Linked DNA regions of Arabidopsis thaliana. The protein of the gene in region 2 interacts with the protein of the main gene of each other region in a pairwise test. Each region holds a gene or a part of one and is shown on either strand. Other genes may lie near its edges. The genes, in order: ABCB25 and AT2G23200.

The links.
Region 1: the proteins of AT2G23200 (region 2) and ABCB25 interact in a protein complementation assay, tested with the Arabidopsis thaliana proteins (one large-scale study listed by BioGRID).

What each region holds. Positions count from the first base shown.
Region 1 is NC_003076.8:23,560,003-23,567,843, reverse strand, and holds ABCB25 (ABC transporter of the mitochondrion 3), read right to left. Parts: upstream 5,915-7,841; 5' UTR 5,677-5,914; coding exon 5,028-5,676; intron 4,951-5,027; coding exon 4,889-4,950; intron 4,809-4,888; coding exon 4,765-4,808; intron 4,668-4,764; coding exon 4,565-4,667; intron 4,419-4,564; coding exon 4,311-4,418; intron 3,987-4,310; coding exon 3,903-3,986; intron 3,837-3,902; coding exon 3,776-3,836; intron 3,504-3,775; coding exon 3,358-3,503; intron 3,253-3,357; coding exon 3,136-3,252; intron 2,982-3,135; coding exon 2,896-2,981; intron 2,602-2,895; coding exon 2,513-2,601; intron 2,417-2,512; coding exon 2,361-2,416; intron 2,220-2,360; coding exon 2,139-2,219; intron 1,891-2,138; coding exon 1,825-1,890; intron 1,747-1,824; coding exon 1,654-1,746; intron 1,319-1,653; coding exon 1,254-1,318; intron 1,160-1,253; coding exon 1,024-1,159; intron 945-1,023; coding exon 804-944; 3' UTR 600-803; downstream 1-599. Other genes in the region: AT5G58280 (AP2/B3-like transcriptional factor family protein), read right to left, coding at 1-48, 129-227, 306-506; NdhN (oxidoreductases, acting on NADH or NADPH, quinone or similar compound as acceptor), read left to right, coding at 5,915-6,283, 6,366-6,482, 6,548-6,633, 6,712-6,769; EMB3143 (YCF54), read right to left, coding at 7,472-7,664, 7,765-7,841. UniProt on the Arabidopsis thaliana protein: Performs an essential function in the generation of cytoplasmic iron-sulfur proteins by mediating export of Fe/S cluster precursors synthesized by NFS1 and other mitochondrial proteins. Not required for mitochondrial and plastid Fe-S enzymes.
Region 2 is NC_003071.7:9,877,607-9,882,525, reverse strand, and holds AT2G23200 (Protein kinase superfamily protein), read right to left. Parts: upstream 3,252-4,919; 5' UTR 3,176-3,251; coding exon 671-3,175; 3' UTR 602-670; downstream 1-601. Other genes in the region: CYP81D7 (cytochrome P450, family 81, subfamily D, polypeptide 7), read right to left, coding at 3,519-4,133, 4,216-4,599, 4,836-4,919.

The DNA.
Region 1 (7,841 bases), on a different chromosome or scaffold from region 2:
ATGTCGCGATCTCCTCAGATTCGAAGTACGACCAGTGTCTACGACGACCTGAAAAGAGACAAGGGATTGGGTTGATTGATTGCTGTGAAAAATCTATTACAGAAGTAAGAGAAAGCTGGGAAAATTACATCATCGCGATAGGAAGAAATTACGGTACGAACACGGGAAGAGCGTCTTGGTTCAGCAGTAGCTAAGAGGGCTTTATCGATGGGTTTGTGATTACGCTGCTGAAGAAGCTGAAATTGTGGTAAAGCTACAAAATTGGACTAGGAATGAAGCAGAAATGGAAGGAAAAAACACGAAACCTGAGGCGTTTTCTTTGTAATCTGAGTCAGAGTCTTAGAAATCTGGGAAATTCCTAAATCCTGAGATTCAATAATCAAAATTGATAAACGAATCAGAGAAGGAGGAGAAGAAGAAACGCGGTAACGATGAAGGGTAACTTGAAATCGCTTGTGATTCTCTTGAAGACGGAGCTTGCGAGCTTCCTCATAGGCCATGGCCATTGCAGAGTTTCCTAGGAGGAGAAAGAAATGGCGCTTCGTTTGAATTTCGAAATCACGGACTTCTTCTTGTTAATTAATTAATAACTAGTTGGGCCTATTTGGGCTTTAACTAATAAAATTGATCATTTTTTTATCGTAAGTTTACTTGCTCAACAAAAACTCGTGTTAAAATTATATCATTCACCACTATTTATTATTCCCTTTGTTTTGTGTTCTTTGGGACTCTATTAACTATATAAGCTCCATAGAAAATCAATGAGATAAATATAAATTTTACACATTTGGCTCTGAGGTTCACTATTCCAATTTGATAGCTGCATCAAGCATATCCACGCTGCTGTTTTGTTGTGTCCATAGCTGCGCATATCTCCCTGATTTTCCCAATAGCTCGTCGTGGGGGCCTTGTTCCACCACCTTCCCGTTTTCCAGTACTACGATCTGCCCGCAACCAAAAGTTTCAGTTATGCAAAAACATTGTTTCTTTGAGCTAAGTTGACAAACACTATTTACTACAAACCTCGTCACATTGCATCGCAGTGGTCAGCCTGTGGGCAATGAAGATAGATGTCCTGTTACTCGCTAGTGCCTTGAGTGCGTTCAGTATCTCTGCCTCTGTTGTGCTGTCCAGCGCACTCGTTGCCTCATCACACAACCTGTGTACACCAACCATCTCTATGTATGTGAGGACTAGACACGTACATAATCACATAAGTAAACTCAATGCTGCTTCTGTGCAAAGTTACTTACAGAATCGCAGGGGATTTCAAAAATGTCCGAGCAAGTGCCACTCTTTGTTTCTCTCCACCACTCAACTGCACACAACACCACTCCATGGTTATCACAATACAAAAACCCCATCAATATATGACTCTACTCAAACTCAGGATGGTCACTCATCAATGCTACTCTTTGCCATTATATAGAAAACCTCAATCAGTTAAATCTTTTATTTTTCATGATTGTTACAGTCCTGCGAAACTAGTTTATTAGATCATATTCTTCATCAAGTTTTCAACAGGTGAACTTTGACTTGGAAGCCTGATTGACTTAGCTTGTTTTACTTTGATTATGACAATGACAAAAACGACGGGTGACTAACTCCCCATAACTCAATCATGCATTCCAGATATAACATCAAAATACTGACCTTGAGCCCCCTTTCCCCAACGATCGTGGAATATTTATCAGGGAAATTACTGATTGTTTCATGAATTGCAGCACGCCGAGCAGCCTCATACACCTGGATTGAAAATTTATGTTAGATGAGGATTATTGATATTAAACTTGACATTTCCACCAAGTATAAGTTGACTGGTACCTCTTCTTCTGTAGCTGAGAGACGTCCATAATGTATGTTGTGAAATATTGTGTCATTGAAGAGAACCTGCAGTGCAGTAGAGATTACCCTTGAGAACAACAAAACTTGGAGTGCTATACCTTCACAAAAGCTAACAATGATACATATGAAAAATAAAAGAGAAGAAAAGTGAAAAAAAACATAAAAAAAATCAAGTGTCTAGCATGACCAGAGAAGTTACAATGAGAAGAAAGGCGAGAAACAAATGAATGCAGGTCATAGTGGTGTATATAACAAAAAGCCTCACGATGAGAAGTAGAGAAATGCCAACTTACAGTATCTTGCGGCACAACTCCTATGGAGCTTCGGAGGCTATCTAGTCTCACTTCCTTTATATCTTGCCCGTCAATCCTTATCTGTTAACCAACATGACAAAAAAGATGTTATCTAGATACCAAGCATTTTCTTCACTAAATTTCTCTGCAGCAGGGTGTACTTTCGTTGCTACAATGCTTCCAAACAAGACCCCACATTTCACAAACAAAAAAAATGCTTACATTTCCGGAATCTGTGTCGAAGAATCTGAATAGCATCCTAAGAATTGTTGACTTGCCTGCCATAGAACAAATAATAAGATTTGCAACAGTATACCAGAATAACAAATTTACACAGAACTTAGATGCTTAAACAGAAGAGGTTTAGGAATTACCGCTCCCGCTAGTACCAACGATTGCCACACTTTTTCCTGCCGGTACGACAAAGGAAATTCCATCTAATATTTTTCTCTCTGGAAGGTAACTGTAATTGTAGAAAAAGAGAAAGATGATGTGGCAATAGACATAAGTTATTAACCCCCTTCGTCTTCAGCCACAACATGAAGCTGATATCCAAATCATGCAATGTCTTATAATTTGCCACTTTGATAAGCTCAACAAAGCTAATTAGTAAAGACTTTCTGGGGTGTATTGAGTTCATAAGTTAAATAAAATTTGAGTTAATTACTCATATTAATCTTAACACACTTTCATACCCAAGATACTATGGCTCCAACGATTAGTATGACAGTAATGTTCCACTAAAATCAACACCTACCTGAAGTGTACATTTTCAAACTCAATGTTTCCACCTTTCAGTACAAGAGGCTTTGCGTCACTTGTATTTGTGATGTCAGATTTCTCCTGAAACAGTAAGAGAATACCACATAATCAATTCAACATGCCAGGAGTGCATACTAAAAAGCATGCATTTAAAGCATTATCATAAAAAAAAAAGTGTTTAAGAAACTTAACCAAATGCAGAGTTTAAAGAAACAATTATAACATCCTCACATACCTCTAGCAACTGGAACATTGATTTCATGTCCACAAGGCTCTGAATTGTTTCACGGTAAACACTACCCAAAAAATTTAGAGGAAGAGACAGCTGAAAGAGAAGTCCATTCACCATAACCTGCATCACCCAAATATGCAAAAGCTTATTAGAAAACAATTTGGATAAAAAATGCAGAGAAACATAAAATACCAATGTCAAGGAAAAATCAAAGGACGCACTGACCAAATCACCGACTGTCATCTGGCCATTCATGATACCCTGAGAGCACAACACCATTGCTGTTGATAAAGCTGTACTAAATATGATACTTTGTCCAAAGTTTAAGAAAGCAAGACTTCTTTGAGTTTGCAGGGCAGCATCTTCATATTCTGGGATAAGCAGCAGAATCGTCACAAGATAAATTAAGGTAAATGGACGGAGCAATAATATATTATGGTAAAATATCAATCGGTTTTCTTCCTAGAAAAAGAACGTGTAAATAAAGATGTAAAAAGAGTCATCAGCGCATTTTCTGATCTACATTTGTTACTTGTTGGCTTGTTGCTACTATTCTTGCTCAAACTAAAACTGGAGAATTTTCTCTTTTTTTTTGGAAATTAAGATAAATGTTTTCATCTAAACAGCTAGTAGAGTTACTTACTTTTCAGGAACTGGTCATACTTTTCAGCCTCATAACCTTCATTGTTAAAATATTTGACAGTCTGAAACGAAAAAGAAATTCTGTCAAAACTGCAAGTCAAGCAAAATGATTAAGATTAAAAATTTACCTCATAATTTATCAGAGAATCAATGGCCCTTGTGCTAGCATCATTATCAGCTTTGTTCATAGCCTTTCTAAACTTGGTTCGCCACTGGATAAAATAAATAAAACCGTGAGCAAAGCGTTTGACACCAAAAAGATTTGTAACAAGATAATGAAAGTTGAAGAGAATGTATGAAGACAACTATCCTTCTATACATCATCAAACCTAATATCACAACTAGAATGATTTAAGCCGATCCAAAGAGTTGATACAGTTAAGATTAGAGAAGCTTAGTAACGAATTCCAGAACAATGTATACTATAGTAGTTTCTTAAATAAAATATCACAGTTATTGCTGGATTATCATGATAATAACGCAAGTATTGCATTATAGTTGGCATTGAAAAGAGAATACCGAAAAAGGCACAGTACCTGTGTCACAGCTAATGTGAAAACGATATATGATCCAACGGAGAGAGAAGTAATCCAGGCAAAAGCAGCTCCAAACTTGTATGCCAGTATACCTGATACCATAGATATCTGAAAGATACATATTAATTACGTCGAGTGTTTTTAGAGACGAATGAATAGTGAAATCCAAATATGAATGAGCAACTGCCAATTATTCAAAATGAGAAAAAAAACAATGATCATGAGAAAGCACCAAGTGGTCAGACAAGCTTTACCTCCAATATGGTAGGAACAACATTGAAAACCATAGCTGAGAGGATAAAATTTATTGCACGGCTACCACGATCAATAATCCTGTTCAAGCCGCCTGTTTCTCGACTGGACATAAGCAATTAAGTAAGGAAGTTATGATGAGATGAATCTAAGATGGAATGAGCGAGACTACTCACAAGAGTAAGAGAGGAGAGATAGATACCTTAGGTGGTAACGAAGGTCAAGATCATGTAAATGTGAGAACACCTGCAAAGCGACCATATGAAATTGATTCATACATTAAAATATCTCTATCGACAAGATAGTTTAGAGCAGCAGCAGCATACCTTTCTAGAAACAGATCGTATTGTTCGGAGAGCTACCTTAGAGAACACAGCAGTACGAAGTTCTGCGATGATGAAAAGTAACAACCAAGAGTGAAAAGTGCATTCTTTTTTAAAGAAAACTAGAGCTATTGAGAGTTACCATTAAAAGCAGAAGAACCCGTCCGAGCAATCCCGTATCCAATGAGAACAGCAGCAGGAGTAGCAAAAACAGTAAGAAGAGTTGGGTTTGTAGCAGCGAAGGTGGTAAGTGAGGCTCCAGTACCGGTAGCTGAAGCAAGCCAATCAACAGCTAATTTGAAGAGGAAAGGGACTTGGACATTCAAGACCTTAGCACCCACGAGAAAACCCAAAGCAGCGATGACCCTGAAACGGAATTCTGGATTGTCTCTCATCCACAAATAGCCAGCAAGCGTACGGAGAATCTTCATGTCAGCCATAGCTGAGTCTGAATCCGACGAGGTTGTCTTGATTTCCTTAGTCTTGGTGGTGGTTTGGTCTGGATTGGGAGTAGAAGTCGAGAAGAGACGACCATTAAGCATTGAACTCCGTTGAACAAAACGAATTGGGGATGGTGATGGTGACGGGGATGGTGAGTTATCTGAGAGGAAGGCATTGATAACCGGAGATGTTCGAATTGAGTTACGTCTGATGTAATTGGAGAAACCATTATGAAGACGATAATCAGAGCGAAGACTGTAGGAAAAAGATGGGATTTTGGGTTGAGGTTGAAGATTAACGCGACAGAGTAAGAGCCCAGGAGCCCTAACGAATCGAGATCCTCTCGACATCCCTTCTTCTCCGAAAGTTTCACAGACTGAATTTTGCTCCGGCGAGCTAGCTAACAATGTCACGACGTTCGGCGGTGCTTAATGGGCCTAATAAATAAAGCCCAATACATTTTAAGCCCATTAATGTCTATCCCTTTGTGGAGTGAGTCGTCGTTTCTCCACCATTCTTTCATCATCATCGTCGTCAAGCAATGTTTATTATGAGCTACTTCCACAAGAAGTCATTGTTAGTAAAGAAATGGGAAGCCGTGCAATATGTATACAACGTGTGGCACCACCGTGTTTTGAAGCCTCGCAAGTGAAGAAGATCAAAACAGTTGGTTCCTTTTTGGTGAATACTAGGAGTAAGAGAAGAAGAAGCACTGGTGTGAAATGTAGCAGCATAGCTGACTACATCGGAGGTGACTTGGTGAAGCCGGACATCGGACAATGGCTTCAAGACGTGGAAGAACACAAGGCAATCGCCATTTACGCTCCTCATGAGGGTGGTTACGAAGGTCGTTATCTTAACCGTCTCAAAATGCAGGGCTACTACTTTCTTGACATCTCTGCTCGTGGCCTTGGTGACCCTGAGACTACCCTTCTCAAGAACTACCCTGTTTGCCCTGTATGTCTACTTTCATCCATCTTCTACTTTAATCTTGTTTCAATATAATTTTGTGTGAACCATGTATCTTCTCTTCTTTTAGGCTCATCTTGGGAAACAACCTATAGCAAGATGGTATTATCCACCAGAAGTTGATTACAGGCTCGCTGCTCTTCCCCCTAGTGCCAAGGGTCTTGTTGTATGGGTCCTCGAAGCAAAGGTTTGAGTTTCTCTCATTTGATCTGTTCTCCCACATGCTCTTTCTCATATTTCCATTTCACTCAGGTCCTCTCAAAATCGGAGCTTCAATTTCTCGCTTTACTTCCCTCTCTTCGTCCTAACGTCAGGGTTATTGCTGAATGTGGCAACTGGTGAGTATATCATTCCTTACCATACACACTAATCATCTATGTTTGCAATTTGCATGACCATTACCAATTCCCCTGCAGGAGAAAGTTCGTGTGGAAGCCTCTAGCAGAAATTGCAAATCTAGCTGCACAAGAGTAACTTAATGGCACAAGTGGAGCTACCAGTGTATAGTTTTTCATGAATGCATCTCCCGCAAGTGTAGCAATACTCATCCCATAGTAAAAGTTAAAATCTGTATTTGTAACTTGGTAGTATATTCCCATGGAGTAGTTAAAGATAATTTCTGACTCTGCTTTGTCACAAATAAAAGTATGTATAATCAGTAAGATTGATAGGACACGCTTAGATACAGACTACAGAGCAATCCAGAAGTACAACATAGAACACTTGATTCAGCAGAAACATGTGCAACTTACTTTGATCAACTCCAGTCACTAGACCTAACGAGTAACAACATGTTCCGAGTCCACAAATCGTTTTGAAAACCAAAAAATTCAGATCTTTTGCAAAGTTCTTCAGCGAGTAGGCATATTGCCCTCCTGTGACTAGACAACTTAATACCTAGAGCTTTAACTGAAGGTTCTTGCCAATATTCTCGTGAGAAATCAACAAATATGGTCACCCTTAAGACTTTGATGGAGCTAAATGTGAGGATGCTTTTTGTTGTCTAGTTCTATGCTTAACCTTGAGTCAGTGACGTATCAAACAGGCAACTTTGAGTAATAGAAGCTACACTAGGAAAGATATAGACTTGGATAATGAGCTCAGTAGTACAAAACTTTGAAGCACTAAGACAAAGCTGAGATTGGAGAATGCAAAAACAAGACAAAAAGCAAAGTTCTATACTGCAGATTCTTGGGTTACTTTAGGCAAGAAGGTATCCCACCATCCAGGTTCATACTTGGGGTATGGCGCCACCCAATTTTTAGGCTTATCGAACTCAAGAGTGGTAGGATTGGAGGCCAAAGCTTCATCAAGAGAGGTAGCTTCAAAGGAATCATACAGAACACGATCCAATCTTAACTTCATAAACCTGCCATAAAACAACAAATTGCAAAACACAAATGCGTTAGATAAGGAGGGAGTGAGGAACGTAATTTTGAAAAGAGAGAGATTGGGATTAGGGTTCTAACGTGATCCAGGTGCCATTGGTGGAAACAAGAGCAACAGCAGGACGACGAAGTCTTTGAGTAATTTTGGGGAAATTGTC
Region 2 (4,919 bases):
TTAAAAAACAGAGGAGTTCCATTTCTATGGGTGATACGGCCAAAGGAGAAGGCCGAAAACGTTGACGTTTTGGAAGATATGGTTGAAGAAGGTCAAGGAGTTGTTATTGAATGGGGTCAACAAGAGAAGATACTATGCCATATGGCGATCTCTTGTTTTGTCACTCATTGTGGATGGAACTCGACGATCGAGACGGTGGTGAGTGGTGTTCCGATGGTGGCGTATCCGACTTGGTTTGATCAGCCGCTTGACGCGAGATTGCTTGTTGATGTGTTTGGAATCGGAGTACGGATGAAGAACGATGTCGTCGATGGAGAGCTTAAGGTTGCTGAGGTGGAGAGATGCATTGACGCCGTGACAAAGGGTACCGACGCTGCGGATATGAGGAGGAGAGCGGCGGAGTTGAAGCAAGCGACGAGATCGGCGATGGCGCCTGGTGGATCCCTCGCTCGTAATTTGGACTTGTTCATCAACGACATCAAAATCGTTAAAAATGATGTAATTTTAACACCAAAATAGTGTTTAGCCTTCGAAATACCCTATAGACGGACTGTGATTATCTATTAACCGGAAATAACCGGATATTAAATTTTGAAATTGAACCAGATACTGCTAGAAACTTCACATTTCGAAAAAATTATAATTTTACACACAATTGCGAAAGATTTCATCATCTTGCATCAGAGATCTTCAACTGCGAAAAAACTCGAGTCTCCGATGAATCTGTAAATCCAAATCTGTTCTTCGATTCATCACCATTCTGAAATATCGAGTTCGTACTAAACGAATCACTCACCATCAACCTCGGAGCAACCAACGAACCACCGGAATTAATCGCCGTACTATCTTCTTCATGAGCCTCTCGACGATTCGTCATCATCTGTAGCTGAAGAACATACTCAAGATCCCAAATCACATCCCTCATACTCGGTCTCTCATCTCCATACTCTTTCAAACATTTCTCAGCAATTTCCATGAATTTCTTCAACGAATTCGTCTCAATTTGACCTATCAAACTCGGATCTAAGATCTCATCGATTGTACCTTTTGATTTGCAGAACATCACCCATTCCGATAGATTCACTTCTTCGTGAGGAAGATAAGGATCTATAGCTGGTCTCGCGAACAGTACCTCGAGGAGGACGACTCCGAATGCGTAAACATCTGATTTCTCTGTTAATTTATGTGTTTGGAGATATTCTGGATCCAAGTAACCGAATGTTCCTTTGATGTTTATGCTGATATTGCTTTCATCTTGATTATGAATTTTCGATAATCCGAAATCTGCGACTTTTGCTATATTGTGCTCGTCTAGTAATATGTTTGTTGATTTGACGTCTCTGTGAATGATTGCTCCTTCTGAGCCACTACTGTGGAGATAATCTAAACCTCTAGCTGCTCCAATGCATATCTCTAGTCTTTGTTTCCATGTTAATGAAGGTAGATTCGAGCCGTATAGATGTTCTTTGAGTGTACCTTTCTCCATAAACTCGTAGACGAGGATCATTTCGGAGTTTTCTTCGCAGTATCCCGTTAGCGAGACGAGGTGTCTATGTCGGATTCTTGAGAGGACTTGAATCTCGGTTTGAAACTCTAAGATCCCTTGTCCTGAGCCGGTTTTGCCTCGTTTGATAGCGGCTTTGGTTCCATCGGGAAGAATAGCTTTGTAAACGTAGCCAAACCCGCCTTTCCCGATCAACAACTGCTCGTCGAAGTTGTTTGTAGCGCTTAGAATGTCTGTGAAGGGAATCGTTAAGCCTAAGTGTAGGTTGCGTAATGGGGAGTTGTGGTATTGAGAGATAGGTCTATTGTCTGAACTCCCACCTCTGTGCAATGGCAAAGGAGACCATACAGTGCCCTCAACCTCTGGCTTAGTCTTCTTCGATCTCCTCCGCTTCAAGAATACCATAAACAGCAAACTGAAGACCAAAGCTGATGCAGCAGCAGCAGCAACAGCACAACCAGTGATGATGTGAACCCGGGAACTGCTTCTATTTGAATAATCAGAACCAGATTTACTCAAAACCTCCATCATCTCCAGACCATTCAGAAAACCAGCATCCTTATTGGCCTCCTTGGTACCTATACTGATATTCAAGAGTCCAGAACCATCAGAGACATTCACGACATCCTTAAAAAACGGACTCGCCAACCTAGGCTGCTCTGAAGGCTTTACATCTACTCGCCAATACCCATTTACAAAGAGATAGAAATCGGAGTCGGAGTTTGATAAGTTGCTCAAAATATCAGAAAAATGAATCCTGATGAAGTGTCTATGGTTACTTTTGACCTTGAACGACCATGTAACATTCATCAACATCCCCACCTGCTCATTCGAGCTACGGTTCATTGCTTTAGCTGTCTTGTAGACGAAATCAGGAGCAGTGGAGTCCGTGGCTGAACTTAACCCTCCCACGTAGTTAGGCGTTTGTGTTGAATTAATGTTCCTCGCTGAATCTTTTCGGTAGAGAAAGTCATCATCGTCAGGCAGCCAAGTTCGTCCCAAGGTATCATTATCCGGAGTGATTTTCTCGCCTCCTACGTTTAATCTGTAAATCGTATGCAGATTCTTATCGGAAGCTGATGGGATTTCGAGGTCATCAGGAGCAGAGAACACTTCGATGGCATTGATGAGAGCTAAAGAGGAATGATCGGGCACAAATCGAATTTCGAACTCCAGCGAGTTCATCATCAGGAGAAACTCTTCAACTCGTGGGGTATTAGTGAGATTCTGAGGCGAGAAACTTTTCAAGTGATGATTAGAACCAGAGGTAGCAGAGACAGTGAACCGAGCAGTTAAAAGATCTGCCCGAGAAAACACAACAGAGAAATGGAGACGCACAAAGTGCAGACCCAGAGAATCAAGTTTGAACTTGTAAGAAGAAGGGTGTCTAAATATCCTAACCGTCCGGTATATTTCAGGCGCAACGGACGATTGGTCGTTGATGACTTCAGTTCCTTTGTTGGTGAAGGAAACTGAGTTAGTACTCGAGTTGGTATCTCCGACGAAGGTCTGGCCACCATAAAATACATTAGAATCCGATCCACAGTTGACGTAAAAATTCTCAGGACGGGTGTACGTCGAAGTATCAGAAAGACTGAGACGGGGGAGAAGAACAAGAACCATGATCGTGATAAATAGAGAAACAGAGTCTTGAAAACAGAAATTCTCCATAGCTTTGATGCAGAGAAGGAGAAAGAGAGAAAGTCAAGTCTTTGAGGTCAATGGATGAAAAAACATGTGTGGTCTATGTGAAGACTGGATTGAGGAAGAAGATGAGATTGAAGGAGAAATAGAGAATTGAAATTATTGGTGGAACAAAAAGAAAGAAGACTGGAGTTGACTTTTGAAGTCATCGTCTTTTGTCCCGTGAGAAACAATCACTCTCTAATCTTTTTACCTTTGGCTCCCCAACACTGACCTAGTAAACGGTCAGTCTATACTATTAGATTTTTTGACATGATAAGTTTTTTTACTACATATTTTATTCCCAAGTCAAGGAAAGAAGAGTTACACTTCAAGCAAAAGCATCGAGAAACTTATGGACAATGGGACGAGCTTTACACATGGCTAGCAACGGTGTCGCAGGACGCATCATGGCCATAGGTTCTTCTCTAGTGTCTACATATTCTTCACCAATTCTCTGCCATTCGAAACACTGAACCATCGATCCAAGAGCCAAGCTCATTAACCGATGAGCTAGGCCAACCCCGGGACAAGCTCGTCGTCCAAACCCAAACGACAACAACTTCTGATTAAGCTTTTCATTTTTGAACCTCTCTGGCTTGAACATTTCTGGGGCTTCCCATATAGACGGGTCTCTATGCATGGACCATACGTTCACCAATAACATCGACCCACGTGGAACGTCGTATCCTGCCAATATGCAATCATCTGACGTCATGTGTGGAATATTTGTTGGAGCTACCGGGTAAAGACGTAAGGTCTCCAACACAATCCATTGGAGATAAGGCAGATTTTTAGTATCAGCTTCATCCATTAACCGGTCAAAACCGACTTCGGTATCGATTTCGGTCCTCGCTTTCTCTAATACTTCTGGATGGTTCAACAAATTAAGCATCGCCCATTCTAAAGTCCCTGCTAATGTTTCAGTCCCGGCAAGTATCATAACCTGTAAACTTAAAATCAATAATAAGCTATCATAAAGTTTGATTAGTGTTGTTACATATAGTATATGAATTCCTCAAACTTACAATTATGATTCCTTTAAGAGTGACATCTGTATAGTAATCAGGCTGAGTTTCTTGGAGAGAAAGCAAGTGATCCATCATAGTGTTACCCTTTTGTTTATGCACACGTCTCTCATCCACCAGACTCTGCAAAAACTCATCGACCCGACTCGCCAACTCCTTGACCCCTTTCTCAAAATCTGTGATCCAACGCAAAATCGGTATATAATCGGCTGCATTCCCAACGCCAGCCCTGTACACAATCTCGTCAATCAGTTGTGTCACTCGCCGCGCAACTTCATCTTGTTCTGTCCCCTCTCCATAAAATCGTTTCCCAGCCACCATTCGAAGAATGTTGTTGATAGTCAAATCATAAAACAATTGTCTCATCTCAACCTTTGCAAAACCCTGATTTTAATTATAATCACATAAACAAATGATTAATCCTCAAACTTTCAAAATCATACTTCACAATCTTCATTTGGTATAGAATATTTTTGGCGTCTACAATCTACATTTTGCACATGCACATGGCCAAGTATAAACCTATATAATGAAACAGTGACGGCACTATCACAAATCAATAGGTTATAATATTTTCTGGCTAAGTAAAATGTTTTGATATGTAGAAGAAGCTCACATACATGTTGCGAGTTTTTTGAGAGGCGCAATAACAAGTGTCGGATCTCATCTTTACGGACAGATAAAAAGCCGTTGAGCTTGTGTGA